Linked DNA regions of Callithrix jacchus. The protein of the gene in region 2 binds, or shares a complex with, the protein of the main gene of each other region. Links are inferred from orthologs where the notes say so. Each region holds a gene or a part of one and is shown on either strand. Other genes may lie near its edges.

Region 1 (4,167 bases), on a different chromosome or scaffold from region 2:
GTCTAGAAGGATGAGTAGTGTTGGATCAGGCAAAGAAAGGTGAGGGGACTAGCATGTCCAAAGAGCCTCAGGTAAGAGTAAGAGAGCACAAGTTGGATGCATCTATAAATAATTCAATAGTGAATCAAAAGAAATCAAGATATGGAGATATCCACATGAAATGTCCAGCAGGCAGGTAAAAATGTAGGTTTGGAGCTACGGACAACATATCCAGATATGAAATACACTGTATTTTCAATCTTGTCTTAGAATCATAGTTATTGGCTATTTAAGAATTGGAAGAACCTTACACATTAGCTAGATTATGTATACTTCCACCTTCTTCTATCACTTACTGCAAAAGTATCTCTACCTTAAATTCAAAAGTTGGTTTACGTAAATAAACAAAGAGGACAAGTGGGGGTTGTGGTAAGGTGGAGATACATGCCTTGTCTAAAGAGGACAACCATTTACTCACCTCCAGCAGTTTAGTGCCTTGCTGGAATACAGGCCCTAACTAGCAAGAACTTCCTATTCTTCAAGAAAAGCTGAAAATTCAGATTTTATGTAATATCTCCCATTTTCAAATGCCAGCAACTAATTACATTTAAAAATAAAACAACACTGTGCCAGCCAAACAAAATGCTTCTAGGGACAGATTTCAGCAAGGGCCACCAGCATGGCAGAATTAAACAAGGTCTGTCAACTCCTACAGTATTCTTCCACTACTTCAAAAGATCCTAAGCTGATAGCTTGGTGATTCCCCCGGGATAGGAGCTGTTTTTGCCTCTAAGCAAAATGGCCCCTATTTGGCAATGCTTTATGAGTTCCTTTACAGGTTTTTAAACAATTTCCCTGTCTTCCCTTACCCTACCTGGACATCAGCTTCTGGCAGCACAGAGACCTCCTAAACCCCTTCCATTACACGCTAAGAAGTCAAACTTGCAGGTAAAGCAAAAGTAAGTAGTGAGAACCTGACGGGATTTCTAAGGATTAAAGTACATAAGACATATGGCGGCTGGGTGCAGTGGCTCACGCCTGTAATCCTAGCACTTTGGGAGGCCGAGGTGGGTGGATCACCTGAGGTCAGAAGTTCAAGACCAGCCTGGCCATCATGGTGAAACCCCATCTTATTTAAAAAAGAAAAGAAAAGGATATATGGCATCTTTTTGGTTTTCTTTAAAAAAAAAAAAAAGAAAAATCACATAGGTGTTCGTGACTAGTCAGACACCTGAAGGGGAAAATGTCAGTAACTTAAGTCAGAAATACATAAGCAAATTCTCCTAACAAACCAAATAGTTTCCACTGTAAGATAGCAAGAGGGACAAGAGAACAGGGCAAAGGGGAAAGTAAAAGTTACTGGCCTTTAAGCACTATCAGACACCTTTTAATGCTTAGCATAAAAGGTACAACATAATCTCCATTCTTAGTAGAAGCAAAACTATATGTTAACTAATTAACATGAAAGAGTCTTCGAGCAGCAAGAAACAGATTTAGAAACACTCTTAGATGAGTAAAGCAATCTTTGTAGAAAAGGTAAATGAAGAAAAGGAAACAAAAATAGTCTAGTACACTGTTGCTCTAGAAGCTTTAAAAATGTAACATTTCCTAATTATACTAAAACATTTAAAAACACAGCAAACTTAAACATACAAAGACTAAAAATTCTTAACAAGCCAAATGACAGCACCAAGAATCTCGAATGCCGCAAAAACAAAACAAAACCCCTGAAATTGGTAGCATGTGCACCAGCCCCTGTTAATCCGAGGAGCAGGGGAGATCAGGAGAACAGAGAGTGATTACTGAGGACGAGCGGAGCAGGCCACGCTCCTGCTGGCAGGCGAGCTCGCAATTCCTTAGAGCAAGCGTTACGGCCAGGGCATTCTCAAGCCACTAAAACGAGCATACTGGACACCTAAAACATGAGGCTGACAACAGCTCCGGGCTAAGACCGAGAAGGCGGAAAAGTGGCCTGCTTTGACCTCCACTGAAAACTGAGGCTTCTCCAACCGTTGTCTCGGAATCAAAGGGCAAAGCATTCACCTCTCGGGGTTGGATTATTCGGAGCAACTGCCCGCGGCTCCCCGCGGCCTTCCCACACTACGGGTGGATGTCAACACTGAGAGCCAGCCGTGTGGGGGACCTCCCCGTGTGCGCCGTCCTTTCGGAGACGCGGCGAGACAGGGAAGAAAGACGGCCCTGCGCGCGCGCCCCGCCTCCCCAGCCCTTCCCCTGCGCCTGCTCGGCGCCCGCGCTGGGGGGCTGCGGCCGGGAAGCGGGGTCCGGCGTGCTCCTCACCTTTTTCAGGGCAGGCACCAGCAGTCCTCGCCACTTGGGCGCGTTCTCTTCGCTGAAAAACTCGTAGGGCAGCTGCTGCGCCTGCATGGTGCCCCCAGGGCGCCTCTGGGCGGGGAGAGGGGCGGCGGCGGCCCGGCCGGGGAGCCGCGAGAGGGCGAGCTCGCTGCGCGGAATAGGGCCGCGGCCCCACCGGACGGCCCGGCCCCCTCCGGGCGCCGCGCAGCCGGGCTAGCCCTGGCGAGGGGGCTGAAGGGCGAGGCCCACGCCCAGCCACCCACCCGACACGGGTACTAGCCGTGGAGAACGAATGCGACCCGGAGGCGGCGGCATCCCGCACCACCGCCCCGGGGCCAGGCCCCCCCGCCCCTCCCTGGCCCGCCGGCGCCGCCCCGGGCGGCCCGCTACACCGCCGCCGCCTGCCGGGGCTGCACTCCCGGGTCCGGCCTGGCCCCGCGGCAGAGCTGGCGGCTGGGGGAGGACGTGTGGAGGGACGCTCTGGCCGCGGCGCCCGCTCCGCGCAGTTGAGACTCCGAAACGCAAGAGCCCTCGGGTGGGGCGGAGCTGGGGGAGGGGGTTTCGCGGGGAAGGGGAAGGACCCGAGGTCGTTGTTGGGGAATCTGGCTGCCCTGAGGTGCCGCCGCTGCCGCCGCCGGTGTAGCGCTGGAGCTTCCTACTAGCAAACTGAACCTGCGCGCTACTGAGCATGCGCTGCCGGGCTGGGCTGGTTCGCTCCGGGTTTTCCGGCTCCCGGTGAAGGAGGAGGGAAGCTGGGGGCGGGGGGAGTGGGGAAGGGAGGCAGGGCGCCTGACCGGGCTGTGGTTGCGCTCCTGGGGACTCCTGAGGAGGGGCGAAAGGGCCCGAGAAATCGAACCCTGGCAAAGTGGGGCCTGCAGAGGGGGTAAGAACTACGGTAAAGAAGCCCCCACTGTGTGGTCTAGCCGTGAGGGCTCCTACCCCTCTCTGAGTCCCTGGGCCTTTCGTTTCGGAAAGGGGCGTGTGTACTTTGTTCCCGAACACAAAGATAAGGACTGCCCAGCACGCAATGTATAGTAAACAGACCGGACAAAATATACAGGTGCTCTGTCTCGAAACCTACTGCTAAGTATCTGCTGGGCAATAGAAGTGATCGCAGTGTTTTTAACTGGTCTTTCCACGTCATCAAGAATAAAATGTGTACATGTAGTATTGATTTTCTGTGTGTGTTAGATTGCATTTGTTCATCTTTTCAACCCTCTCCAAATATGAATTCCAATAAGCACTTTCCTCCAATGGATACTGAGACCTCTTCTAAAGCTCCCAGAACACTGCACTTATTCCTCTCTCAGGGCATTTGGTCTATAGTGTTTTGTATCTTTTGTGGTTCTTTCAACTACATAATAAACTGGAAGGCAGATTTTTTTCACCAGGTCCTCCACACAGAACAGGCACTCAGTGAAAGTGGAATGCTAAAGGACCGGTATATATAAACTGTCCCTCCAGGCCACTGTTTATAATAGTGGCACTTTGTGGCAGACACCTCATGGTTTATCATTAATGATCACTTCTGGAGTATCATCTGATTTAATCCCCATAGCAACCCTATTATTTTCATTTCACCGATAAGAATGCAGTTTAGAGGAACTAGCTTGGGTTGAAGCTGACATTGTGTCCTGCTATTCCTAAGAACAACAGCCAGGATCACGTAGATGAGAAATGTTCAGTGGTTCATAATCTTTACAGGACCTCTGTGAAAATCTGAAAAAGAAAAAAAAAAAAGAAAGTCTTCAGTTATTTCCTTTAAAAATATACAGGCCAGTGGGCAAGGTGGTTCATGCCTTATAATGCCAGCACTTTGGGAGGACAGGGTAGGTGTATCACCTGAGGTCAGGAGTTCGAAACCAGCCTGGCCAA
Region 2 (3,009 bases):
ATCTCCGAACTCTGTGGGACACGACTCTCTCCTGAGATCTGGGGTTTTAGGGTTGCGCTATACCTCTGCCTCACTCAGATGGTATTCCCCTCCGCTGAGATCGGAGCCCGTGATGAGACTGTGACCTGCTTGCAAATCGGGTGCTCAGTGCCGCTCGCTACTGCGGCGCTGTCCTTAGATCTCACGCCGGAGACTTCACTGTTTCCTGCCCCGCCCCACCTGAGCTCGTCAACCTCGCGGCTCCCACTCACCTCCCCTCAGCCCGGCAGAGGAGCCTTGGCGCCTCCTGTGGGTTCACCGGCCCCTTCCGGGCCCGTCCAGTGTGGGGCCTCCCTGAAGGACAGAGCTGGACCCCGGCCTCACCTGGACTCAAAGTCTTGCGTGCGGGTCACTGAGCACCCAGGGAGGTCAGGGTCCTAACTCAGGTCCAAGTTCAGGGTCTCTAAATCAGATTCCAGTCCCACTCCCAGCCCATCGCCAAGAACTGGAAGAGACAGGAGGAGTGTTACAGGGGAACTTTATTGAGAGGAAACATGATCACACCCAGCCGACATGCTTTCCCTCAATCTCGATCTTGCACTGGCAAGCGCACGCACACACACACACACACACACACACACACACACACAATCTCTAGCCCCTACCACTGTGCAGTTCTCAGGCACAAGGCGGGACACTTACTCCTCAATTCCTAACATCAGGCAGCAGGGGCAGGAGGGAGGCAAGATCGGGGAGAAGTAGCCTGGTCGTGGGGTCGGCAGGAAGCGGGTGCAGAGAGCAGGGGTGGGGCATGACCAGTGATTAGGTGTGCTCAACAGCTGCGAGAAGAGTGGGATCCCCAGCCCCAGGTGGCCTCGGCTCTGCCAGTCCCTTTCCATGGAACCTTTTGGAGCAAGAACAGCGCCTGGGGGAGAAGGGTGGGGCCTCTCACCCCATACTAGTCCTCTTGGCAGGGTGGGGTACTGGAGGGGGCAGGGCAGGGCCGGCTGGTGGCGGGCAACACTCAGCTCTGGGGCTCCTGGGGCGCCTCGCCCCCCTCTTCCCCGGCGTTGTCAGCCGTCCACAGGGTCAGGTTGTCTCGCAGCAGCTGCATGATGAGGGTGCTGTCTTTGTAGGAGTCCTCGCTGAGGGTGTGCAGATCAGCCATGGCCTCGTCGAAGGTGGTCTTGGCCAGCGAGATGGCCTCCTCGGGGCTGTTGGCGATCTCGTAGTGGAAGACGGAAAAGTTCAGGGCCAGGCCCAGGCGGATGGGGTTGGTGGGCGGCATCTCCTTCTTGCTGATGTCCATGGCCTCCTGGTAGGCTGACCGGGCCGAGTCAATGATGCGCTTCTTGTCGTCACCGGTGGCCACCTCAGCCAGGTAGCGGTAGTAGTCGCCCTTCATCTTCAGGTAGAAGACCCGGCTCTCGGCGTCCCCAGACTCCTGGATGAGGTGTCTGTCCAGCAGGCCCAGCACAGTGTCGCACACGCCCCGGAGCTCAGTCTCCACCTTCTCTCGGTACTCATGCACCTCGGGGCCCTTCTCCTCCGAGCCCTCCTCATTGCTTTTCTGCTCAATGCTGGACAGGACCCTCCAGGCAGCCCTCTGGCCACCCACCACGTTCTTGTAGGCCACAGAGAGCAGGTTTCGCTCTTCGCAGGAGAGCTCCTCGCCCTTCTCCACGGCGCCCTTCATGAAGGCTGCCATGTCCTCATAGCGTTCGGCCTGCTCTGCCAGCTTGGCCTTCTGGATCAGACTGGCTCTCTCCATGGCTCTGGGAACAGACAGGAGGGCGGCGGGTAACTGCTGCCTGGGACCAATCCCGGACTCTGTGCCTCTCCTGCTTTCGGCCTGCCTTTTGGCTGGGTGGCCAGGCCCTGAGAAGGGTGGGGAGGAGCAGGGGGCAGGACCAGGGCCCAAGACCTGCCTCCCTCTCCTCTCCTCCCCACACCCTTTCCGGCTCTGCATGAAAGGTAAAAGGGTTGGGATGTGGGAGTGAGTCATCAGGACAGTCAGCAGGAGAAATCTGGGCGTTGGCCCCACCTGCACAGGTGCCTTTCTGGGCTCCACGCTGCCCCCTCTTGTTCAGGACTGGCATTACATGACTGCCCACATCAGGAAGCTGCCTGGCTTCTCATATCAGATCCTCTTTCACAGTGCCCTTCCAGGGGCTAAGGATGGCTTTAGCCCCTGGCTGCTTCAGCCTTGATAGAGCTCATAAAGGTTCAGGAGGATGGGGTTCCTAATCCGGAGAGGTAACTTCCCCCGCTTGGTTCAGGGGAGAATAATTCATGTATAGGTAGGGCTATACAGTTTCTCAAGCACTTTTATATTCATGATCAACTTTAATCCCCTCCATGTCTCTGTGACATACACAGGACCATAGAGATGGGTACACTAAGTTTCAGAGAGGGGTGAGATTTGCTCAAAGTCACATAGCCACCAATTCCCTGAAACTCTTTTCTGCACCCTACCTCCTTTAGATTTTCTCCCATGAGGCCTCTGACCTATGAGCTCCAGGCTGTGTTTGGAAATGAGATCCAGGCTGCTTCCTCAGTCTACCTGAAGACAGTTCCATCCCCCAGATGGGTCCCCTCTGAGCTCCCAGAATGCACAGGTGGCAGCTTTCGGAGTGCCACTTAATAAAGTGTTTAACAAGCAGCCTCTGACGCTCCAGCCCAGCCTTTGTAATTAGTCACCCAGTAGGTTTGTTGAACACATTTCCCATCACTACACAATTTTCCCTTTCAAGTTGGTGGCCTGTTGCCACTTGTTTGAGGACTTACCCTCTGGCCCTCCATGCCAGGTCACCTGCCCTCTCCAAGCCATATGCCATCAGGTACCAGCGGGGCTTCCAGAGGGTGGGGTCCAGCTCCCCAGCTGTCCCACTTTCCTGCCTGACTCAGACTGCCCTCTTGTCTGAGGCTGGGAAGCAGTCCAGTTTGATCCCCCAGGGGGGACGCTAGCAACCTGGGGAGGGAGAGGACTGAGGAAGGTAGGTGGCAGTGACACATATCATTCTGTTTTAT
Region 3 (4,034 bases), on a different chromosome or scaffold from region 2:
GGCAGGAGAACTACTTGAGCCCAAGATTTTAAGTCTGCAGTGAAGCAGAGTGAGACCCTGTCTCTAAATTAATTACTTAATTAAAAATAAAAGAAAATGTGGTATACATACACAATGGAACATTATTCAGTCATACAAAATGAAATCCTGTCATTTGCAACAGTCTGGGTGGGACTGTAGGTTATTAGGTTAAATTAAATAAGCCAGGTGCAGAAATAAAATATTGCATAGTCTCACTCATATGTAGGAGCTGAAAAGGTGGATATCATTGAGGGAGAGAGTAGAATGGTGGTGACCAGAGGCTGGGAATGAAAGGATGGGAGGGATGAAAGAAGGTGGTTTAATCAGCACAAAAAATATAATTAGATAGAAACAATTAAGTTCATATACAATAATATAGTAGGGAAATTACAGTTAATAATTTATTGCATATTTCAAAATAGCTAGAAGAAAGGAACTGTAATATTGCCAACACAAAGAAAAATGTTCCAGGTGATAGATATTCCAGTTACCCTGATTTGAACATTACACATTGTATACATGTATCAAAATATCATATGTAACCCCAAAATATGTATAACTATGATATATCAAAAATGAATTAATTAATTACTTTTAAAAAGACTCTTCCTTGTTTTCCAGCATACTTTGCTTCTGGTACCCTCTTGGCAGAAATATTAAGTGACACTCATAACTACTCCAGACAAGTATGCCCAGGTTTGAGCAATTTCTAAAATTAAGAATTAGGTGGTGAGTATGTTCCAGGCACTCTTGGGTTCTCAAGTGTAGCACTGCCTTTATCTGGACGCTGTAGACCAAAGCCTACCCAGGTTCTGACTGTCCTGAGTGTTATCAAGCAGGAGTGACTCTATCAAGTACAGAGTCGAGGGAATTAAGTTGGCCGGAATCAGGCACTTCTGAACACCAAAGCAGTGGCAAGTAAGAAGGGATGATGTGAGTGCAGGGCAGGAAGCACTATAGGCCAGTGCCCAAAGAGTGACTCATATTCCACAGGCAAAATTCCGACTTTGACTCTTAAAAGAACAGCATCTTTATTATGCCTCCATCTTTTCTTGGTTTGGTTTTGATATCAGCAGGAAAATCTATAATAGTCAAACGGAAAATATTTCACAGTTGAAAACAAATTAAAATATTTCTTCCAGATATAAATGTCCTTGTATCAAAGAAGCTAGATGGTTCACCCAGACTAGATACAGCTAGCTACAGAGATAAGCATGAAGATAAAGACAGACGCACACCGATTTAAAGATTGACATGTCTTACATCTCTCAAGCCTCGCAAGTATTAAGAAACATTGGCTTGCTGACTCCACCTCCGTGGCATTCAAAGTTCAATTCTCTTTCTCCGCATGAGTTAACTTAACACTTAGATGACAAAACAGATGTCAGTTCCCCAAATCTCAAAGTGCTCCAAAGGAAGTTATCACCTTGGCTTATAATTTTGTTTTGACTGGAAATCAATCTTAATTACCATTTTAAGGCCCCCTTTAAAAAATATATCCAAGGTATTTAGCAAATTTCTGAGTTTCCAATAGTACATATTGTGAAAGTTTCACTTTTACACGCATTTTTTATGACAGCAGTTGCAAATTATGAGGAACTCATAAGACATCACTTTCTTTAGAGACTACAAGGTATACTCTAACTGAAGGCTAGATATCTGTCTTTGAGTTTAAAAATAAAGTGCTGAGCTCTACAAGAGTTTGCCAGTGACTAAGTGGCATTTTATCACCATTAGTTATTCCCCTTTTCCAAACTGTTCATAATCCTTTTATCTAGGACACACCCTACATTGGGAAGATTCTTGGAATAGGTCTAAACACTAATGAATTCATCTTGCCAATAACGGGACTAAACCTGAACCCATTTCTATCCCCCTACTACACTATCCATATTGTGGGTTTCATAAAGTTACTTCTGAAAGATACTCAGGGAACATGTACTGGGGCCCTTTACCAGTTTACATTGTCTAATGATTTAACAATGTTCCCATCTTAAAATCACTGTCAGAGGTTCCTCAGGCCAAATTTCGGGAATAACCAAGAACTCCCGGGTATATAACACTGCCAGTAAAACGTCTCCTTCCAAATAGAAGGGGGAATGAGTTGAAGTGAAAACAATGTCTTTACCTGCTGCACACTCGCGACTCTCATATACGAGTCCAAGACGATCAACAGAGGAACGTGGATATTTTTGCCTTGAAATAACTTGGAGGCTGGAAAACAAGGGGGTGAGGAAAAGAAGCAAAGTCACAATCCACAGCACTCCCTTTCCTTTAAGTCTGAAAAAGGGAGAAAAGTCAAAAAGGTGAACGCGAGACCTCTCTGGAATTCTCAACTCTACTCAGCCCTAAGGAAAGGATATGGGAGTTTGAGGCTCCTTAAGAGTCCGGGTTTGAGCAGCGTCAAGGGAAGGAGGACGAAGTTTGCAAAAGTGAGGAGGGGGTGAAAGTTTGCAAAAATAAATGCAGTTTCCTTGAAAGTGATTACCGTGCTCGGAGTACGTGAACACCAGCAGATCCTCCAGGATTTGGACCAGCGTTTCTATCTGTTTTCCTTCCTGGACGTTGTTCAGCCTGACTATTAACTTCTTCAGAGTTTCCTCGTCCTCCTCGCACACCTGACTGCTGCCACTAGCCATGGTGGCCCCTGCTTCCAGCCCGCAGCCCTCCCAGCACGAACGTCCGCTACTCCGGGAACCGGCAGGGGCGCCGGCCACAGCTTCCCGGGGGCGAGCACAGCTCACCTCACCGCCCGCAGCCAGCGCTTCCCGCGGGCCCCATCTGCACCCACGCCCGCCTGTTTATGAGGAAGGCGGCGGCTCCCCGCCCCGCGCTGCCCTCCCTCTCCGGAGCCCTCCTGCTCGGCTTCCTCCTCCCCCACCCAGGCCCCAAAAACTAGCTCAGGGGCCTGCCCGAGTCTCGGCGGAGGCGACGGGCCTCCCAGAACCCTGGCGGCGGCCGAGCGGCTGCTGGAGCCGGGCCTGGCCGGGATGACCGTGACCGTGGCCCCCACGCCTGCCTAAACCCGACCCCGGGCTGGCGCCGCCTCCTGGGACCAGATTCCACCCCAGCGGCGGCGCGGCCGCGAGTCGCGCAGGAAAAAAACTGACTCGGCTGACTCCGCTGAGGCCCCAGGCCCCGAGCCCCGCAGCGGAGGCGCCACCCTCCGCTACCCGCCAGCGGGGGTCCCTGAGGCCCCCACAGAAGGTCTGGGAACTGGGAGCAGGAAAAATGAAAGCCGCCTATCTCCAGATCTAAGAATAGAAATCAGGGCGTTGGGAAAACAGGACACCGCCCAGATGGCCCCTTTTAGGAAAACATTCTCTTTAGAGTTCCCCCTATAGGGAATCGAGTAATTTCCCCCAAAGGACAGAGAGAGGTTAGCTTTCAAAACTTGCCTGCTACTGTCTTTTTTATGATTGTGGTGACTGTTCGTGGGAGAGGAAATAAACATTGTTTCTCTGTGAGTTATCTGAAACTCTGGTCACCACAAGGCCCCTAAATTAACTTTTGGAAATTTGAGTTGCACTAGGCAGGATCCTAATGGTTGGGACACCCGAAAAGTAATCAGCTCTCAGAGCTATTAGAACTAACATGGAAGAACAGGGTACATTAAATGAAAGGTGAAAAGGTGAGAGAAGCAAACCTAAGTACTTTTCTCTTGGTATTCAGAATTACTTATGAGTGTCCATCACCCCCAAGTTTTTTTGTTTTTTGATGTTTGTTTGTTTGTTCTGTTAAGTACCTAAGTAATGTGTTTTCTAGGAGCAACCAAGCAGGAACATTGTAGACAAGGCTAGGCAAAGATGATCTACCCTTCAGGTGATGTGTCTGTCCTCAAGTTCATCTACAAAGAAGAGGATTGGTCTGGAAGTTAGTACTTCACAATTTTAGATTTGTTTTCACATGTTATTTCAATCCTGATGACAATTCTGAAATGGATAAATGTATCCTTCTTTCACTAACGAGGAAATTGAGATTTGGAGTTGATAAGTGAAGAGCTTTGCTGGATT
Region 4 (4,282 bases), on a different chromosome or scaffold from region 2:
TTCTCTGTTCATGCTCCCATGTATTGCCCACATAACTCTCAAAGCTGGACCTATTCCTGTCATCTTTGAGAGTTCTGTAGTGAGCTGGTACATAGTCCCATCGTTTCTGAAACTTCCACCAGCTAAGGAAGCATGAGAGCTTTTGAAACGGCTGTGTCGCTCCATATGAAACACAACACTAATGGCTGAAATGACACTCAATTCAGAGGCTGCTCTACCTCCCCGAACACGCGGATCTACTACACGACCACATGTATCGCGCTGGGTCTGCCAGCCTTTTTAGTGGCAGTTCTCTACTGTTGACACATTTGGCCTGTGGTTCCCAATGACTGCCGGCCAATTGAACTCCATCCTGTTTGCACGTTCCCACTTGTTGAAACAGTACAAGGCTGTCATTGTTTCATCAAGCATTTGTGAATGGCCTTTGTGTGAAAAGCACAGTGCTGGAGTTGCTTTTTTTTAAGGGACCAGTTTTAAGGGACCACCTGTGCATAATCATATACATCTGTTTATTTGCATGTTTGTGTGTATGTGTAACCACGTTTCTCTGAGCTTTGTAAAACATACCTGGAATCATGTACCCTCTTATTCCCTTAGTCTTCTGTGTGCCCCAGGCCCATGTCATCTGGCATAGATTACCAGTGCTACATAATGCAGCACTGCAGGGGATCTCTGTCATGGGAAATGACCACAGGAGACATGACCCAGCATGTTATTCTTCATGGAGTGCTTTGTGAAAGACCATGACTCTTGTAGCACCAGGCCAAGCTCTTTTTTAAGCTAAACGTTACTTAGGCAAAGAGATGCGTGTGTGTTTATGTGGCTGTGGCTGTATGTGCAAGTGTGTGGTTGTGTGTGTGCAAGTGTGTGTGTGTGTGTGTGTGTGTCAGGAGACTATAGAAGAAAGAATGGAAAGAATGAGATTATAGGTCTGAGGTGATATGGATAGAATCTGATTGCTCAGCTGTAAGGAATGGAGGGTGTGAACATGATTCACAGAGGAAACAGCAGGCGGTGGAACCCTGTACAGCTGGTCCCTGCTGGCCTATTTACTCAGGGGATAGACTGAATCTCATTTGGAGAAATACTCAGAGTTGCAGAAGAGAAAAAAACACCCTGAAGAGTAAGAAGTGCCTTGGGGAATTGAGGATGAGGACAGTGGACGTCCTGGTTAAACTAAATGCCCCTGACATGCCATCTACACCAACCATCCTCTGCAGCTCTGGCAGCATGCTACCAGGCACGGATCATTATTTAGTTTAAAAAAAAAAAGCAACTCTCTGCAGGATCCAATTACGTTCTTGGTTGGACACTTGAGCATTTGTTCTAAGGAGGATACACAGAGCCCAGGGCACAAGAGGGAGGAGGCAGTGGGCCTGATGCAAAGAGCCTGGGTTCACATCTCCACTCGGGGGAAATCCCTGAACCTCTTGATGATTCGGTTTCCTCACCTGCAAAACGAGCACAGTGACCGTACCTACCGTTCAGGGTTGCTATAAGTGTTAAAGATTATTTCAAAAATGCCCCTAGCACCAAGGGACTCAGTCAGCAGTAACTCTTTTGAAAATTCATGAGAGGGCTACAAGTTTTAGTAGGGTATTTACTGCAGCTGCGATCATCACCCCCCAACTGATGATCAGTTAGATAATCATTTCTTAATTCTCTAAACAAGATAAACAACAACCGTCTCTCCCACAGATGACATAGTGCAACTGACATTCCTCAAATAACTCAGAGGGTTCTACCTGCAGATGTGATGATTCCACCAGAGACAAGAAGCTTAATCAAACCCTCTGTTAAACTTCAAAGTTTAGGGGATATCATGGTAAATGTCGTATCAGACCGCGAAAATTAAACGAAGTCATGAAAAAGCGGACAAAGTGTCTGTTGTAAACAGAAACAGCTTCTTTTCTCCCAAAGATACTTAATTTTTTCCCCCTTCTTATCTATTTACTGCTGGGAACTGCTGAGCTTAACAAAGTAAACTTGGCTTTACTTATCAGAGCAAGCTCAGGAAGCCCTAAGAGGAGGGGCAACACAAACACTGGAGAATGAAATGTTCAACGAGAAGCCCAGAAGACAGCTTTCCGCCAACAACTCCCGGCTGCGGCGTGATCATTAGGCAGGCTCAGATATTACAGATACAAATGGGCATCTGCACTGTATGTGACTACAAACCCCAGCCATTGCCTGGAAGTCTACGACAAGGCAGGCATTCTAGGGTTCGAAGCGGTTGCTGGGATCTTTGCATTAAGCAATGATACAAAGAATGCACAAAACAGAACGTTACCCTCTTCTGAACTGCTCAAGGAAAATTCCTCACCCAAAATGAGATTAAGGGCCCAGTGCAGATAGGGCAGCCTTTCAATACCATCCAACACAAAATAGCATTTTATTTCATTCAAACCAGAATGGTTTCAGAATTCTTGTGAAAATCCAATATAGGCTGAATTTTCCTTCATACTATATGTAAGGAAAGATTAGCCGAGCAAATTAAAGATGAAAGGAATACTACAGGGACAGAACTTCAATAAACCTTAAGAATTTCAACGTACTGTCTGCAAGCAGATACTCTGGCTGTCCATCACACACACAGTGCATTGCGCACGCCTTACTGCGGGCAACAAGGCTGAATGCAATCGGGTCTCAGCTTACCTGCCAGCTTCAAGTCCAAACACTCCTTCATTCACTAGGCTCCAGTCGTGTTGCTTTCTTTTCCTGTTTTTTGAACCACCGCAGCTCATTCCCACCTCCAGGCCTTTGCACTTGCTCTTCTGTCTGCCAAGAACATTCTACTCTCAAATCTTCACAGGATCAGCTCCTCCTCCTTGTTCAGCTCTTGGCTCAAAGGTTACCCCTTAAAGTTCAATATTCCTCTGACTGTTCAGTTGTTCTCTATCATATCCTCAATTTCTTTTCTTCCTATCACCACCCTCTGGAATTCCGGATGTTCCTCTTTGTATAGTTACGTAATCACAGAACACCTCCACGAGACATTAAGGTCTGTGAGTGCTGGGGCTCTCCTTGTCACCACTCTAGCCTCAGGGTCAGGAGCAGGGTTTGGAAATCAAGTAGACTCCCAAAAATATTTATTAAAGGAAATTAATTACAAAATATCTAACATATCTGTTAAAGAATTTTCTTTTTCTTTTTCTTTTTTTTTTGAAACAGGGTTTCACTCTGTTGCCCAGACTGGAGTACAGTGGAGCAATCTCGGCTCACTGCAACCTCCACCTCCCAGGTCAAGTGATTCTCTTGCCTCAGCCTCCCGAGAACCTGGGACTACAGGCACGTGCCGCTATGCCCTGCTGATTTTTGTATTTTTAGTAAACAGGGGGTTTCACTATGTTGGCCAGGGTGGTCTCAAACTCCTGACCTTGGGTGATCTGCCCACCTTGGCCTCACAATGTGTTGGGATTATAGGCATAAGCCACTGTGCCCAGCCCTGTTAAAGAAATTTCTGAAAGACCTCTACCTAGAAACAATGTGAGGATATCCACATTATGTACTAGTGATTAACAAAACATCCTACTTTCCTAAACTTTATATTTCAGACTTTTCCCTAGTTTGAACTAGTGAGCTCTCTACCTTTCCATTATATATCTCCTCTATTCCATGTTATTTATCTAAACAGAGTAAAACTATCAAACTCTCTACACATATGATAAACTAAAATCAACATGCTGCTGATAGTTTTCTTTCCTTAGCATCACTGAGAAGCAGCAGAACATACTCCTGAAAAAAACCTCAGTCCCCAGGCTAATGTGGAGGGAGAAGCTCGATGGTGACTTGAACTCTCCCAACCCACGTAATCCTCCAGCATCTACAGGCTATTTGGGCCTTTGTCAATCACACACAAAGCTAGGAAAATACAGCCTGGGGATTCGATCTCCCTCCTACTTCCCTCCCTACCAGCCAATATTCCCCAGATCCAAATGACCAGTGTAGAACTTCTCTTTCCCTGTCTTAAAGAAGCAGTTCATCACATTATTTCCTTTTTAATTTCTGTACATTTAGAGATAAAGATATTTCTAAAGCAAGAAATGAGATAAAGTGCTAAGCACGAGTTCACTCACAGAATCCAGAGGTGCTGCTAATGTTTTTTTGTATATATTCGTAATTGTCTGCCTAGGTGTATATATTTGTGTCTATGAGAGTATACAGTGGGGGGATGTGTGTGGATATGTGCATTGATTTGGAACACTGTAAAAGTTGGGGTAGGACCTGTCACACTGGGAGACTCTCCATGAGCTAGAACATTCTGAGTAGGTAATACTCTATG
Region 5 (3,934 bases), on a different chromosome or scaffold from region 2:
TGTCCACAGTTCAAGTCTCAGGGCTTTTCCTTCACCAAATGGGGAAATCTAGAAGCTCTCCTGGTACTGTGCCAACCCCCCATGTCTTTTCTTTTTCTCCTCCCTTTCCTTCCCCTTCCTCCCTCCCTCCTTCCCTTCCCTCCCTTTCTTTCCTTCCTTCCTTTCTTCCCTCCTTTCTCTCTCATTCCCTCCCTCCCTTCCCTCCTTTCTTTGTCTCTCTCGTTCCCTCCCTCCCTCCCTTCCTCCCTCCCTCCCTTTCTTCCTTCCTTCCTTCCCTCCTTTCTCTCTCTCATTCCCTCACTTCCTCACTCCTTCCCTTCCTTCCTTCCAAGGGTCTCACTCTGTTACCCAGGGTGGAGTGCAGTGGCGAGATCATGTCTCACTGGAGCCTCAACCTCCTGGGCTGAAGCAATCCTCCTACCTCAGCCTCCTGAGTAGCTGAGACTAGGAATGGGCCATCATGCCTGGCTAATAAAAAATCTTTTTGGCCAGGCAAGGTGGCTCACACCTGTAATCCCAGCACTTTGGGAGGCTAAGGTAGGCAGATCACCTGAAGTCAGGAGTTCAAGAGCAGTGTGGCCAACATGGTGAAACCCGTCTTTACTAAAAATACAAAAAAATTAGCTGGACATGGTGGCCGATGCCTCTAATCCCAGCTACTCAGGAGGCTGAGGCAGGAGAATTGCTTGAACCCGGGAGGTGGAGGTTGCAGTGAGCCCAGATTGTGCCATTGCACTCCAGCCTGGGCAATGAGTGAAACTCTGTCTCAAAAAAAAAAAATTTTTTTTTTTTTTTTGGTAGAGATGGGCCCTCACTATGTTGCCCAGGCTGGTCTCCAACTCCTGGGCTCAAGCAGTCCTCCCATCTTGACCTCCTCAAGTGCTGGGCTTACAGGCATGAGCCCCTGTCACCGGCCAGAGAGACTTACTATTAATATTTGAGGATTGGGGAGAAAACACAGTCCTCTCTACCCCAGCTGTCTCGGACTGGGGTTACATCAGCCTTGAGTCAGCAGCCTTTTAGTGGGGGGCAGTTTTGGGGTGTGCTCTGTCCCCTACTTTGCCAGCTCCCCAGAACCTCTCCTCTTTGGTCACCTCTCCCATGGTCAGGGTGGGGGTTGGAAGTGAGGACCCCCAAGTGGAATGATGGGTAGTACATAACTAGAAGCCAAAGTTGGGGGTGGGTGGGAAATGGGAGATCTTAGGAGGAGTGCCGGCATCGAGTGTACCAGGACCTTAGATGCCCCGTCCCAGGCAGTCGCGTGACATTTGGGGAGGGAGGGAGAAGGGACGGGAATTTGAACTTTCCACACGGGTCTGACGCCCCGGCCGATCGGGTTGCAACAGGACCTGGGCCCGGGGCCAGAGCTTGTGGGCCAAGGTTACTCTGCCTCCAGCCAATGGGGTCGCAGCTGGGCAGCAGCGGTTGGGGACAGGCAACACTCCCCCCTCCCACCCAGTCCCCACCCCAGCTCCCGATCCCCTGCAGGGCGGCAGGTGCCAGAGTGTAGCCATCGGTTCTCAGAACAGGAGGAGGCGCCGCAGAGGAAAGATCAAGGCCGGCCGATCCCCCTTTCTCCCCTACGGGTTTTCGGTTGATAATTTATCCTGGCCCCTCCGCTCCGGGGAACTTTGCTCCAGGGCACTGGGCCAGGCCTCGGGTTCGCGCCCTCCTCTGGGACGTGGGGCGTGGAGAGGAAGCCGGGCGCGGCCGGTGCGCTCTAGGAGGCTCTGAGCTGGGGTCCCAGGCAGCGACAGGCGCTCAGCCTAGGGCGGTGACGCGGGTAGGCGAGCCCAGGCTTCCCTCCCGGGCACCGGCGTAACCTCTGCAAGCTGCGCCTCTTAGACATTTCTGGGACACCCTCCTTTCTCCCGCCACCCTTGACGCAGCACATCAAGAAGAGGTGTCTCAGCAATTGCGGGGAGGTGGATGAGAGACTAGGCCAGTTTGAGTCCACTTTGGTTATGTATTGGGACAGCCAGGGGAGCGGCGAGTATCTCAGGGCGCAGGAACTGGGCGGGCCTGGGCCGGGGCTGCTTGGGGGAGGGCCGAGGCCTGCAGGGGGTCGGGTGGAGTGGCTTCAGAGTGGACAGTGGGGATGCGCGTGGGTGGCCTAGGGACCTGGGACGCCTGGCACTTTGGAGGGACGGAGGAGCCGGGACCAGAGAGGGGCCCCGGAGGTCCAGGTGGAGGTGGGGCGCAGGCGGTCTGCGCCCTGGGGAGAAGGAGATGGGGGAAGAACGGGAATCAGAACTGCGCAGGTCCGCTGGGGGCCAGCGGGCTGGGCCGCGGTCAGAGGACCCCGGTGCTGGGGGAAAGGGGTTGTCCAGGGCGTGATCAGAGCCTCTAGGAGCTGCCGGGCCGGGCTCGGGTGGGGTGCTGAGGACCCCAGCGCGCAGTCCTGTCCCGGACCCCCCCTCCCCACCCTCCTCGACCCTCGATGGCCGGGCCCGTCGACGCCCAAAGCCGCCCTCACCTGTAGGCCAGGCTCAAGCACTCGAAGAGGCGAGTGAGTGTGGGGTCAATGCTGCGCGGCCCGAAGTCGGAGAGCCCCACGGAGCCCTCCTGGTCGCGCCGCCGAGGCAGCGAGTCGCTGTGTGGGGACGACACCATGAAGTGACCGCTGTGGATCACCTGCGAGCGGAGCAAGCCGCCCGCGCCGCGCCGGAGGCTTGGGTCCTCCGAGTCCGTGTCCGAGTCCGAGTCTGGGCTCGGCACGACCCGCGGGACCTGCAAGCCCGCGGCCAGGCCTGCCAGCGCCCCGGCCATGACTGTCGCCGCCGCCGCCACCGCCTGGTCCCGGCTCCGCGGGGAACTGCTCGTGGGCAGACTGGCCTCATTAACATAGCCCCGCCCCTGCCTCGTAGGCTGATTGGGTGGGCGGGGCATGGGGCGGGGCGGGGCTTTATTAGCATAATCTGTGCGCCAGGTGAGAACCCGCGGCCCTGGCGCTCCCCCGAGTTGGGCTTATCTCCCCTGTCCTGGGAGTCCCTGATAGAACAGCCCCTACTTTGGTCCAAAGGGATCTTAAGGGTCAGGCCTGGCGCCAGGAGCTCATGCCTGTAATCCTAGCACTTTAGGAGGCCAACGCGGGAGGATGGCTTAAGGCCAGAAGTTCAAGACTAGACTCAGCGATATGGCAAGACCCTCCCCCATCTCTACAAAAAGAAAATGCAAAAATTAGCTGCGCGCAGTGGAGAGAAGCTGTAATCCCAGCTACTGGGGAGGCTGAGGTGGGAGGATCCCTTGAGCCCAGGTGTTCGACAACGTGGCAAAACCCTGTCTCTACAACACATACAAAAATTATCCGGGCATGGCGGCGTGCACCTGTAGTCCCACGAACTCGGAAAGCTGAAGTGGGAGGATCGCTTGAGAGTGAGCGGAGATCTGCACTCCAGCCTGGATGACAAAGTGATACCCAGTCTTAACAACAACAAGAGGGTCCCCTGTCACACCTGAGCCTGAAGGCCCCTCAGGACCTGGGGTTTGTGCTTTCAGGGACACCCTCTTGTGAGTCCAGAGGTCACCACCTCCCCTCACCTAACTCCTGTGTTCCACCTACCCCCCATATTAGCGCTGGGTCCTCCACACAGCTGGAAACCCTCACCTCTCAGGGGCCTTGTGTGGTGGGTGCGAAGCAACGCCCCTGAAGGGCCTGGCCCGCAGGAGGTTATTAATACCTCTAGTTAACATGGTGGCCGGGTGCAGTGGGTCACACCTGCAATCCAAGCACTTTGGGAGGCCAACGCAGGAGGATCGCTTGAGGCCAGGAATTCGAGACCAGCCTGGCCAACATGGCAAAACCCCATCTCTACTAAAAATACAAAAATTAGCCAGGTGTGGTGGTGCGTGCTTGTTATCCCAGCTACTCGGGAGGCTGAGGTGGGAGAATCACAAGTCTGGAAGGCGGAGGTTGCAGTGAGCTGAGATCTTG
Region 6 (4,300 bases), on a different chromosome or scaffold from region 2:
TTTTTATCGTGCATTAGGTCCAAACAGGGCTGCGGGTGGGGGCAGGGAGTACTGGTGCTTATTATTGGTACCACACCAGCTGTCACATCCACTAGGCATAACTAATACATACCATGATGTGTCTAGGAATCAGAGCCCATTAAGTACGAGGCTGTATAATAATTCTGATGACAGGAACTACTGAAATAAGGAATCACTTGAATTCTGTCTACCAACACCTTCTCTATGGTTTCGAGTCTGTGTACAATTCCCAACACAAAACAAGGCGGCAAAGTCCTGACTCTGCTGCCTTTGGAACGGCTCAAAGAAGAACCTGACTCTCTAGGGGGAAACAAAATCAGCCCTTCTCACTGCAGCAGTCGCAGCATCTGGCACCGACCGTGAGAGGCGCTCGCTCTTGCGAGACTTCTCGCTTGCCTTTGTGCAGGGACCGCCTCTGGCGACCCTGTCAGTCTGGTTCCTTCCTCATGCTCTTAGATCCCCCGCGTCCCTCGGGGGCTCCAGCGGTTCAAGCCTAGAGTTGTGGGAAGCTCACAGAAGCACCTCCATGAGGCCACTCCCCGCTGGGCGCGGCTCCACCTCGGGGCCTCCCCGCCTGACAGCAAACCTGCTTGTTGGCACTTGCGCGTTCCTCCTCGCCAGTTTCACCCCGGATTTGGCTCCGTCCACTAGCAACCCAGCTCCCGGCTAAACTCCCAGCCCTAAGCAGGGGCCTTGACCCAGCATTCCCAATGACTCCTGCTTTTCCAGAGGCGACACCCTTCTTGGAAACAGACTCGCCGGACACCGCTGGTTAGGGCGGCGGGTGCCTGGGTCCCCGGCCAAGACCTTAGATGGTGCCCCTCTGCCACGCCACGGTCTTTGACCTGGCCCAAACCCCTAACTCAGCCGGGGAGCCGGATGGCTTCCCACCGGTAGGGTACCCAGCCCTCCCTAACACCGCGCGCCAGGTAGGTGGGTGGGCGCATGGGAAAGCAATAACCCGGCCTTGAACCTCAGACCCATGAATATAACCCACCGCGGCGCCAATAATTCAAGTAGACGGGAAGGTCAAAGGCGAATAGTATTGCCTGCGGACTTGGAGGCAAGCAGAGTGGGGATGCAACAGAGGTCAGGAGGGGCTGGTGTGGTGGAGGGGAACGGCAAGATCACTGGGATGGAGTGGGGGAGAAAGGGAGGTTCGGTACAGGTGGGCACCGAGGCGCCGCGGGCGGCCGGCGGCTCAAAGAGGAAGCCCAGCGGCTGCCCGGCCCCTGCGCCGCCAGCGCATTCCTGGCTGTAGGCGTCACCGGCGCCGCGGCTGCCTGCGCTCAGTTTCTCTCCCTCAAGAGCGGCAATCGCATGTAACCGCGTCGCCTCGGGGATTTTCTCCCGCCTCCCACCACCCCCGCGGCGGCCCCCACCTCCCAGCCAACCATCAGGTTAGATCAGGAGGGAACCCGCCGCGAGCCGGGTGGTTCCGCGGGGGCGCAAGCGGAGCCTCCGCAAACCCCCCAGCGTCTGGCCACCTCGGCCGCCCCAAGGCGACCAGACCACGGCTCCGCGGGCAGACTGTGCCCGGCCACCTGGCCACTAGTGGCTCCAACCGCGGGGTCAGCCTGCGGGCACACAGTGCCCTCCTCACCCCACTGCCATTTCCTCGTCCACGCTGCCGTCTGCCGCCCCCACCCAGAAGGGATACAATTTTCGCCCAGCAGAGACCGTGGGAATCCCTCCGAAGGGGCAAAGCTAATGGAGGGGCGCAGACGGCTTGCAGCGCGCGGTTTACCGAGACCCGCCGCTCATCCCCCAGCGGCTGGAAACCCGCCCCAAGCGCCACGCGGTCCTACCGCTCTTACCCGAAGTGTCCCACAGGCTCAACTCTATTCTTTGTGTGTCGATTTCAAAACTGGCCGTGTAATTCTCAAACACTGTAGGAACGTAATTCTGGATAGACAAAATGGGCAAAAGAGGAAGGAAAGAGGGCGAAGAGGTTATCTTAAAACGCACGAAACCGATTGAACACCCTTTGAAAATCGCCTCCCCGCTCCCCAATTAAGAAAAAAAACCCTCACACCCATCAGACCACACACCAAGCACATAGACCCTTTCCGAAATTCCTGTCCTGCTCCCCTCTCGCTCCGCCCTGCTCTCACGGACATGCTGACCCGAATCTCCAACCCCGGGTTTTGCACACAGGAACAAGTTTCAGGAGCTAACCAGCCCATGTGCAGGCGCGTCCCAGCCCTGAAGCTTCCAGCGCACTTTCTCCTTCCCCGCAGTCTAACCAGGGGAAAGTAGTAAGGTTTGAGAAAGACGACTTTTTTTTTTTTTTTTTTTTTTTTTTTTTTTAAGGAAAAACGGGTGGAAGCGGGGAAGCCCACCTCAAGACGGGGATCCCACGGGCCTACCTCCTCCAGAAAGCCGCGGCGGGCCAACTCACCTCGGGGAAGCAGTCCTTGGCGAAGACATGGAGCAGCGCAGTTTTTCCACACTGACTGTCTCCCACCACAACTATCTTGCATTTCACGTTCTGATTAGGATCCATGATAGATTTGCTGGATAATTTCTGGCTGGCTCTTCTCTCCTTCATTGATGTTGCCTTATTTTCTCTTGGAACAGGAATTTTCTCTTATGAAGAAAAATTATATATATGTTTATATGTCTTTCGTTATAAAAATAAATCGCAAGGCTGATGGAAAACCCCTGAAGCGCGGCGCAGACGAGGAGGAGAGCTAGCGGAGCCGGCTCGTTACTCCCCTCCAACAAGTTTTCTGTCTGACTCCTCACCGGGCCTCCCAAGTCCAATTCCGATCCGACTGCTTTGTTTCACGCTCTCTGCGCGGCTTTATACTCCCGGCCTTCCAATCCTCTGCTTTCTCAATGAGAGGAGGAAACTGATCTGCCTCCTCCCCTTTTGTGGAGCCTGGGAGTGAGCGCTCTGCGTTGTTTGCAGAAAATGTAAGCAGTGCGCCCTCTAGGGTGCCCGTTCAGGATCTATTTCAGACCAAGGCTCTGGGACAACTTCAAGACCTCAAAGATGTTTTGCTGACAAGTCCAACAGGGCAAGGTGGGAAACCGATATCTATGCATATCGATTTGAACTACAATCCCTTTAAATACATTTTAATAGGGTCTTATGTCTAGAAGCCTCATAAGCATTTATGAAAACAAAAACATTTCCCACCCTAAAGCACAGTTATAAAACATAGGAAGCAAATCTTGGGCACAGAAGAGTTAAGGTTCTGTTTTTTCTAATGATTTGTGTCAAGTACATAGGCCATGGACCAATAGATCAGCCTGTTTATTCCCGATGCAAGAACTGGTGTGGCTGGGTCACAGTAGTGGAATGGCTTCTGAAACCTGTCAGTTTCAGTCATAAAGGTGGATGCAGAAAGGTTTTGAGGAGTGGGGACAGGAGGTGGGAGGTGAGAAGAAAAAGAAGTGGAAGATGCTCATGACTGAGTGACAAAGGCCATTGCAGACAGCCCTACTGCGCTTGGGACACAAACACTTGTCCGCCGAGTTGCACCTCTCCACATTTGCAGTGAGGAGACTGCAAATGGTGAAAGGTGGACAGATTTTGATACTGTCTGTTAATTATTTATCTATAGCCTCCTCCATCCTCGTGGAATCAAAGCACCCTAGGCTGAACTCAGAAGGCACAAACACTTTTAGCTGAAAAATACAGGTACAACCCTCCACTCTCTCTTCTCCCCTCCTCCACATCTATTTCCCTAGCCCTCCAACTCTTCACCAAAAGCAAAAGTCTTAGAAAGGACCAGAATAGTCCACGTATTTGTTCTTTTTCTATCAGAAGTCTTTCTTATTCTCCTCTTCATCTCGTGCACCCCAAATGCTCAGGAGGTTTCAGTCATTACACTGTAGTAGGACATTGGCTAAAAATAACTTATATGGTCCCCGATGGAGCCTCCTAGTCTTTTAAATGAGATGAAGGTGGGGTGAAAACAAACGAAGCAGAACGTTCAACATGGGAAGTGAAAAGGCACTGATGTAAGTAGTGGACTGGTAGGGCCCCTGAAGCGTAGGTGATCCAAGAATGATGTCCTATTCAGGTCTGAGAAAATTGGAACCCCCACCAAAAGCAGTGACTCAGACTCCATCGGTGGGTCTGTGTTTACACAAGTGGAAGGCTGACCCACAGACAAGTAGGTTGCTGGCCCTGCTGGGGTTCCTAGAGCAGCCTTTGCCAATGTTTGCTCTTCAGAGCTATAGTGCCTCCTGACACACAGGGTACCATGGGCCAATTAGTGAGGGTGAAACTGTGTCCGCATCACTTGTTGAAGATTCAGCAAGCACA
Region 7 (3,973 bases), on a different chromosome or scaffold from region 2:
CTTCACAAACAGAAAAACCTGCACCAATGAATTAAACATTTAAAACAAGATGACTCTCTAAAAAGTATTTTCAACCAAGAAGGAAAGACAGGCCGTCCTGTGCTGGCACTTCCTGTTGCATATGGCACTGAGAAATCCTGTTTTTTCAGCATGCAGAGATTTGCAGACAAAGAAAAATATCAAGGGGAAAATTAGAGGAGGAGGTCCAGAGAAGCGAGACAGGAGAAGCTGGGGAGAAGTCGGGGAAAGGAGGAGACCCCTGCCCAGGGCACAGGGGTATCAAGCCCTGAGGGGTTCAGGAAACAGACCACCCCTGAGCTAACACACTGGCCTTGAGAGGTCTAAGGAGATGGCCCTAGAGAGGCAGCCTGCCTCACTGGGACAAGTGAACCAGAGACACTACCCTGCCTGCTGCCACGCGCAGGTTATCCACCTCTCTACCCAGATGGAGGGACCGGCCCCCTCTCCCACAGGTCTCGAAGTACAAAGTCTGGGAGTCCTCCCTGCCCCCAGCCCTAGAGGGAACACTACCCCTGGGACTCACCAGAGACCCTGCTCTGTGAATAGCGCCCTTGGGTATCCCTGTAGTCTACCAGCAGGACCCCCTCTCAAGACTGGGGCTCAAGTTCCCTGGTTCTCTGGGCAATATCTAGACCAGCCTTTCCCACTGTCACAGCCTAGGGAGTGGGCAGGTTCTGCCCTGCCCCCACTCTCCACCTCTACTGAGAGCAATTGAGGGGCTGCCACCCCCACCACAAGCACCAGAGAGCAAACTCTCTCCTCTCAGGGGCCTGGAAAGCCCAAGCTCCAGAACTGGAACTCAGGGAGGAAAAAAGGAGCCGGAGGAAGAGAGATGAAATCTGAGCTCAGAGGAGTGTGGAGGGGGCCTAGGGGGTATGGAGGGTCAGTGACTCCCACCCCCCAGGCGCACTCCCCTGCCACCTGAGTCCCTCTAGGAGCCATGGGTACCAGGCCAGCCCTCTCCAACTCCCAGAGAGGTAGTAAGTGTAAGGCTCAGAGCCCCGCGCAGCCCAGCCCGCGCCGGGGCGGTGGGTGGGTGGGTGTCTGCTATGGGATTATTCTTAGCGCTCCACTCTCTTCGCAAAAGTGGCGCCTCCGCCCTCCCGGCTCAGGCACACTCGCTCTCGGGGCTCACACGCCTGGCCCAGACACCAGCGCGTTGGAGAGCACCGGGTGGGGTCCTCGAAGGGTGAGGCTCGGAGGCGCACCGCAGAGGTGAGGGCTCCCTAGATAGGAGGGGGCGCTGCGGGAAGGACCCAGAGGGAGGCTGCGTTTAACCCTCGACGCCCTGTACCCAGCCCTGCGCCGCGCGCTCTGCCGCCTTCCCGGACTCCTCCCGGGGCGCGGGAGCCCGGCGGCGCGCCCAGCCCTTACCTATGGTGGTGATGACCGTGATGGCAAAGTAGAAGGAGCCGGCGAATTTCCACTGGACGCCGGCGCGGTGCGGCTCGGACTGCAGGATCACCAGCTCCAGCTGCCGGTAGTCCTCGCTGCTGATGTTATACTTCCCCTTGATCCGGATCTCCTCGGCTTTGAGTTTCTCCTCCTCGCGCATCTCGTGGTCCGACTCCAGGGCGTCGAACACCGCGGCGCCCACCAGCAGGTAGGTGAAGGTGCAGACGATGAGGGACAGAGTCCGCACGTTCTGCCTCTTCATGGCCGCCAGCAAGGAGCCGGCGCGGGGGGCATGTCCCGCAGGCTCACAGCCGCGCGCGTCCCACTGCAGCGCCCGGCGGCCGCCGCCGCCTCCTCCTCCGCCGCCGCCGCCGCCGCCTCCAAGTTGTAAGCGGCGGCGGCAGCAGCAGCAGCAGCAGCGGGGAGGCGGGGGGCGGGGAGGCTGGGGGGGGGGCCCTCCGCTGGGGCCGCCACAGCCACCGCCACCGCGAGGCGGCTGGCGGGGCAGGGGCGGCGCGGGCCCGGGCTCAGCCGAGAAGGCGGACAGGCACAGGAGGCTGCTCGAGCGCCGGGGCCAGGCGTCCGGGAACCCCGACACCCTGCGCCAGACCCGGCCGAAGCAGCCCGCCCCACTGCGCAGGGCCATGCAGGGCGGCCCCGCTGGGTACCGCGCGGGCCTCGCTGCCCTCCGCACCCCGCCCCCCGCTCTCACGGGAAAAGCAGGGACGGGAACCGGGGCCAGAAAGCGGCCGGAGGGCGGCCGCGGGGCCCCGCAACCCTGTGGGTCCAGCTCGCGGTTGGCGGCGCCCAGAAAGAAGCCTGCAGGTCCGCGCGCCCAGCGGGACCTGCTTCCCCTTTTACCCCTCCTCGCCCCCTCTCGGTGGTGGGGAGGAAAAGTTTGCGAAGTGGCGGTGTCTCTGGAGTCCCCTGCAAGCGGGGAGGGGGCCAAGCAGGTGCAGCGGGCGGGGCAGCCTGCTCCCCAAAGGTCCGAGAGCCCAGCGCCCACCCGGGCGCGCGGGGGCGCAGCGGGGTCCCTGCCGGGCGTCGGCCGGTGCGCGAAGTTTGCTCGGCTCAACCCCCAAGGCGCGGGAGCCGGGCTCGGCCCCAGGACGGCAGGGACCGCGATGGAGTGGCTTCGGGGGCGGCCTGGGGACGGCGCGGTGGCGGTCGGCCAGCCCGCTCCTCCGGGGGCGGCGGGCGCGGCGGCGGCGGCGGCGGGAGGGGTCCCGCGGGCCTGGTGGAGCAGCCGAGCGGACGCGGGCGCATGAGCCGCGCGGGGGTCGGGGCCCTCCGGCGTCCGAGCGTCCCGGGAGGCGGCCGCTGCGCTGGTCTGCCCCAGGCGCTACGTGCGTGCGCGCCGTTGGGAGCCCGAGTGTGTGTGTGCGAGTGTGTATGTGAGTGTGCGTGTGTGTGTGCGCTTGGCAGCCCCGCTCCTGCGGGAGGGCCTCGGGGAGCGGGGGCCGGGCTACGCCGAGGCCGGGCCTCCCTCCCTCTTTCCCTCCCTCAGCCTCCAGGGCGCGCCACCTCCCGCCTGGTCCCCAGCCAGCTGGCGAGGCTGCTGTGGCAGCTCCCGCTGCAGACCGAGCTCGGCGCAGGGCGCACGCGGAGGGAGCCCGGGAGGGGCGGCCTGAGCCTCAAGGGAGGGGACGGGGGCGGAGCCGCCGGCCAGTTTTGGCGGGGGATGGGAGGATAAACGCGGCCTCTTGGGTGCTTCTAGCCCGGCTCCCCAAGAGCGCAAGCAGCCCTGGCTGGTGGAGAGTTTGAGGGACTCAGGGTTGGGGGAGACAAACGGGATTCAGCCAGAGATGGCAGACTGGCAGCTTCAGGCAGATCGGGTGGAGAGTGGGGAGCAGAAAGGGAGGGGGCCATGGCGCACCGGAGCGCGGCGGCAGCGGTGCACGAGGTCTCCCCACGCCCCCGCCCAGGCACCCGAGGTGGGAGCGTGTCGTTGGCCAGGGACATGGCCTCGTGGAGTGGTGGGGTCCCGATGCTGACTCTGTTCCCTCGCCTCCCACCGGCACAGCCCGCTTGGCCCAGCACCTGCAGACCTGAGTCGTTTCCCCTGGAGAGCGCTAAGGATAGCATGGGCTGCCACTTTTGGAGTCAGGACAGCGGGGAAACACATCGCCATCCCCCGACCCTCTGTTGCTTTACTGAAAAAAAAGAAAAGAAAAGAAAAAACACCCTGGTTCCCCACAGCTGGGCACAAGTTGCGCCCCGGATGCAGCCCTGAGCCACGCGGTAGCCCTTCTCGGGACCACCGGGGGTAAGAACGCGAGGCTAGGGCCGGGACGCACCTATTCCTTGCTTCCAGATGAGGCCTCTCTAGGCTTTATCTCCTTCCCATTTCGGCCTCCTCCCCCTCCCCGCCCTCTCCCTTTAGGCTTTCAAGGGGCTTTCCCTTGACCACCAGCTTCCTCAGTCCAGCCAGGAGCAGTGGAGTTCCAAACCGACAGACCCAAGCCTCAGAGACCCCGGGGCTCCCCTTTCTCTCTTGACTCCAGCCAAGGAAGAGATGGAGATGGGAAAGTGTCGCCTGGCAGCGGGATAGCAGCTG

What was found.
Region 1: the proteins of SFN (region 2) and SOS1 are in contact, whole or in part, in a crystal structure (PDB 6Y44), measured with the Homo sapiens proteins. The link is inferred for Callithrix jacchus from reciprocal best matches to the Homo sapiens genes SFN and SOS1. Residues at the interface, in NP_006133.1 of Homo sapiens: Glu14, Asn42, Ser45, Val46, Lys49, Arg56, Phe119, Lys122, Arg129, Tyr130, Pro167, Ile168, Gly171, Leu174, Asn175, Val178, Glu182, Leu218, Ile219, Leu222, Asp225, Asn226, Leu229, Trp230; in NP_005624.2 of Homo sapiens: Arg1158, Pro1159, Glu1160, Ser1161, Ala1162, Pro1163, Ala1164, Glu1165, Ser1166.
Region 3: the proteins of SFN (region 2) and LRRK2 are in contact, whole or in part, in a crystal structure (PDB 5MYC), measured with the Homo sapiens proteins. The link is inferred for Callithrix jacchus from reciprocal best matches to the Homo sapiens genes SFN and LRRK2. Residues at the interface, in NP_006133.1 of Homo sapiens: Lys11, Glu14, Glu39, Asn42, Leu43, Ser45, Val46, Lys49, Asn50, Arg56, Arg60, Phe119, Lys122, Arg129, Tyr130, Pro167, Ile168, Gly171, Leu174, Asn175, Val178, Tyr181, Glu182, Asp215, Leu218, Ile219, Leu222, Asp225, Asn226, Leu229; in NP_940980.4 of Homo sapiens: Lys907, Ser908, Asn909, Ser910, Ile911, Ser912, Val913, Gly914, Glu915, Phe916, Tyr917, Arg918.
Region 4: the proteins of SFN (region 2) and ESRRG are in contact, whole or in part, in a crystal structure (PDB 8BJG), measured with the Homo sapiens proteins. The link is inferred for Callithrix jacchus from reciprocal best matches to the Homo sapiens genes SFN and ESRRG. Residues at the interface, in NP_006133.1 of Homo sapiens: Asn42, Ser45, Val46, Lys49, Arg56, Arg60, Arg129, Tyr130, Glu133, Gly171, Leu174, Asn175, Val178, Glu182, Leu222, Asp225, Asn226, Leu229, Trp230; in NP_001429.2 of Homo sapiens: Arg175, Arg176, Arg177, Lys178, Ser179, Cys180, Gln181, Ala182.
Region 5: the proteins of SFN (region 2) and MLXIPL are in contact, whole or in part, in a crystal structure (PDB 8BTQ), measured with the Homo sapiens proteins. The link is inferred for Callithrix jacchus from reciprocal best matches to the Homo sapiens genes SFN and MLXIPL. Residues at the interface, in NP_006133.1 of Homo sapiens: Gly53, Arg56, Ala57, Arg60, Gln67, Arg129, Val178, Tyr181, Glu182, Lys214, Thr217, Leu218, Gln221, Leu222, Arg224, Asp225, Asn226, Leu229, Trp230; in NP_116569.1 of Homo sapiens: Arg117, Ile120, Arg121, Asn124, Trp127, Arg128, Ala129, Trp130, Tyr131, Ile132, Tyr134.
Region 6: the proteins of SFN (region 2) and RND3 are in contact, whole or in part, in a crystal structure (PDB 7OBC), measured with the Homo sapiens proteins. The link is inferred for Callithrix jacchus from reciprocal best matches to the Homo sapiens genes SFN and RND3. Residues at the interface, in NP_006133.1 of Homo sapiens: Lys49, Arg56, Arg60, Lys122, Asp126, Arg129, Tyr130, Glu133, Gly171, Leu174, Asn175, Val178, Glu182, Ile219, Leu222, Asp225, Asn226, Leu229, Trp230; in NP_001241667.1 of Homo sapiens: Asp236, Lys237, Ala238, Lys239, Ser240, Cys241.
Region 7: the proteins of SFN (region 2) and KCNK9 are in contact, whole or in part, in a crystal structure (PDB 3P1P), measured with the Homo sapiens proteins. The link is inferred for Callithrix jacchus from reciprocal best matches to the Homo sapiens genes SFN and KCNK9. Residues at the interface, in NP_006133.1 of Homo sapiens: Lys49, Arg56, Arg60, Lys122, Asp126, Arg129, Tyr130, Glu133, Gly171, Leu174, Asn175, Val178, Glu182, Leu222, Asp225, Asn226, Leu229, Trp230; in NP_001269463.1 of Homo sapiens: Lys369, Arg370, Arg371, Lys372, Ser373, Val374.

What each region holds. Positions count from the first base shown.
Region 1 is NC_133515.1:75,898,036-75,902,202, reverse strand, and holds the start of SOS1 (son of sevenless homolog 1), read right to left. Parts: upstream 2,801-4,167; 5' UTR 2,365-2,800; coding exon 2,278-2,364; intron 1-2,277.
Region 2 is NC_133508.1:63,511,942-63,514,950, reverse strand, and holds SFN (14-3-3 protein sigma), read right to left. Parts: upstream 1,814-3,009; 5' UTR 1,751-1,813; coding exon 1,004-1,750; 3' UTR 501-1,003; downstream 1-500. UniProt on the Homo sapiens protein: Adapter protein implicated in the regulation of a large spectrum of both general and specialized signaling pathways. Binds to a large number of partners, usually by recognition of a phosphoserine or phosphothreonine motif.
Region 3 is NC_133510.1:35,491,794-35,495,827, forward strand, and holds the start of LRRK2 (leucine-rich repeat serine/threonine-protein kinase 2), read right to left. Parts: upstream 2,801-4,034; 5' UTR 2,661-2,800; coding exon 2,510-2,660; intron 2,236-2,509; coding exon 2,150-2,235; intron 1-2,149. UniProt on the Homo sapiens protein: Serine/threonine-protein kinase which phosphorylates a broad range of proteins involved in multiple processes such as neuronal plasticity, innate immunity, autophagy, and vesicle trafficking.
Region 4 is NC_133520.1:12,250,234-12,254,515, reverse strand, and holds the start of ESRRG (estrogen-related receptor gamma), read right to left. Parts: upstream 2,801-4,282; 5' UTR 2,745-2,800; coding exon 2,656-2,744; intron 1-2,655. UniProt on the Homo sapiens protein: Orphan receptor that acts as a transcription activator in the absence of bound ligand. Binds specifically to an estrogen response element and activates reporter genes controlled by estrogen response elements.
Region 5 is NC_133503.1:10,062,235-10,066,168, reverse strand, and holds the start of MLXIPL (carbohydrate-responsive element-binding protein), read right to left. Parts: upstream 2,801-3,934; 5' UTR 2,770-2,800; coding exon 2,477-2,769; intron 1-2,476. UniProt on the Homo sapiens protein: Binds DNA as a heterodimer with MLX/TCFL4 and activates transcription. Binds to the canonical E box sequence 5'-CACGTG-3'. Plays a role in transcriptional activation of glycolytic target genes. Involved in glucose-responsive gene regulation.
Region 6 is NC_133507.1:79,914,800-79,919,099, reverse strand, and holds the start of RND3 (rho-related GTP-binding protein RhoE), read right to left. Parts: upstream 2,801-4,300; 5' UTR 2,573-2,800; coding exon 2,423-2,572; exon of another isoform or gene 2,335-2,422; intron 1,927-2,334; coding exon 1,839-1,926; intron 951-1,838; exon of another isoform or gene 638-950; intron 1-637. UniProt on the Homo sapiens protein: Binds GTP but lacks intrinsic GTPase activity and is resistant to Rho-specific GTPase-activating proteins.
Region 7 is NC_133517.1:57,814,637-57,818,609, reverse strand, and holds the start of KCNK9 (potassium channel subfamily K member 9), read right to left. Parts: upstream 2,801-3,973; 5' UTR 2,063-2,800; coding exon 1,396-2,062; exon of another isoform or gene 1,136-1,395; intron 1-1,135. UniProt on the Homo sapiens protein: K(+) channel that conducts voltage-dependent outward rectifying currents upon membrane depolarization. Voltage sensing is coupled to K(+) electrochemical gradient in an 'ion flux gating' mode where outward but not inward ion flow opens the gate.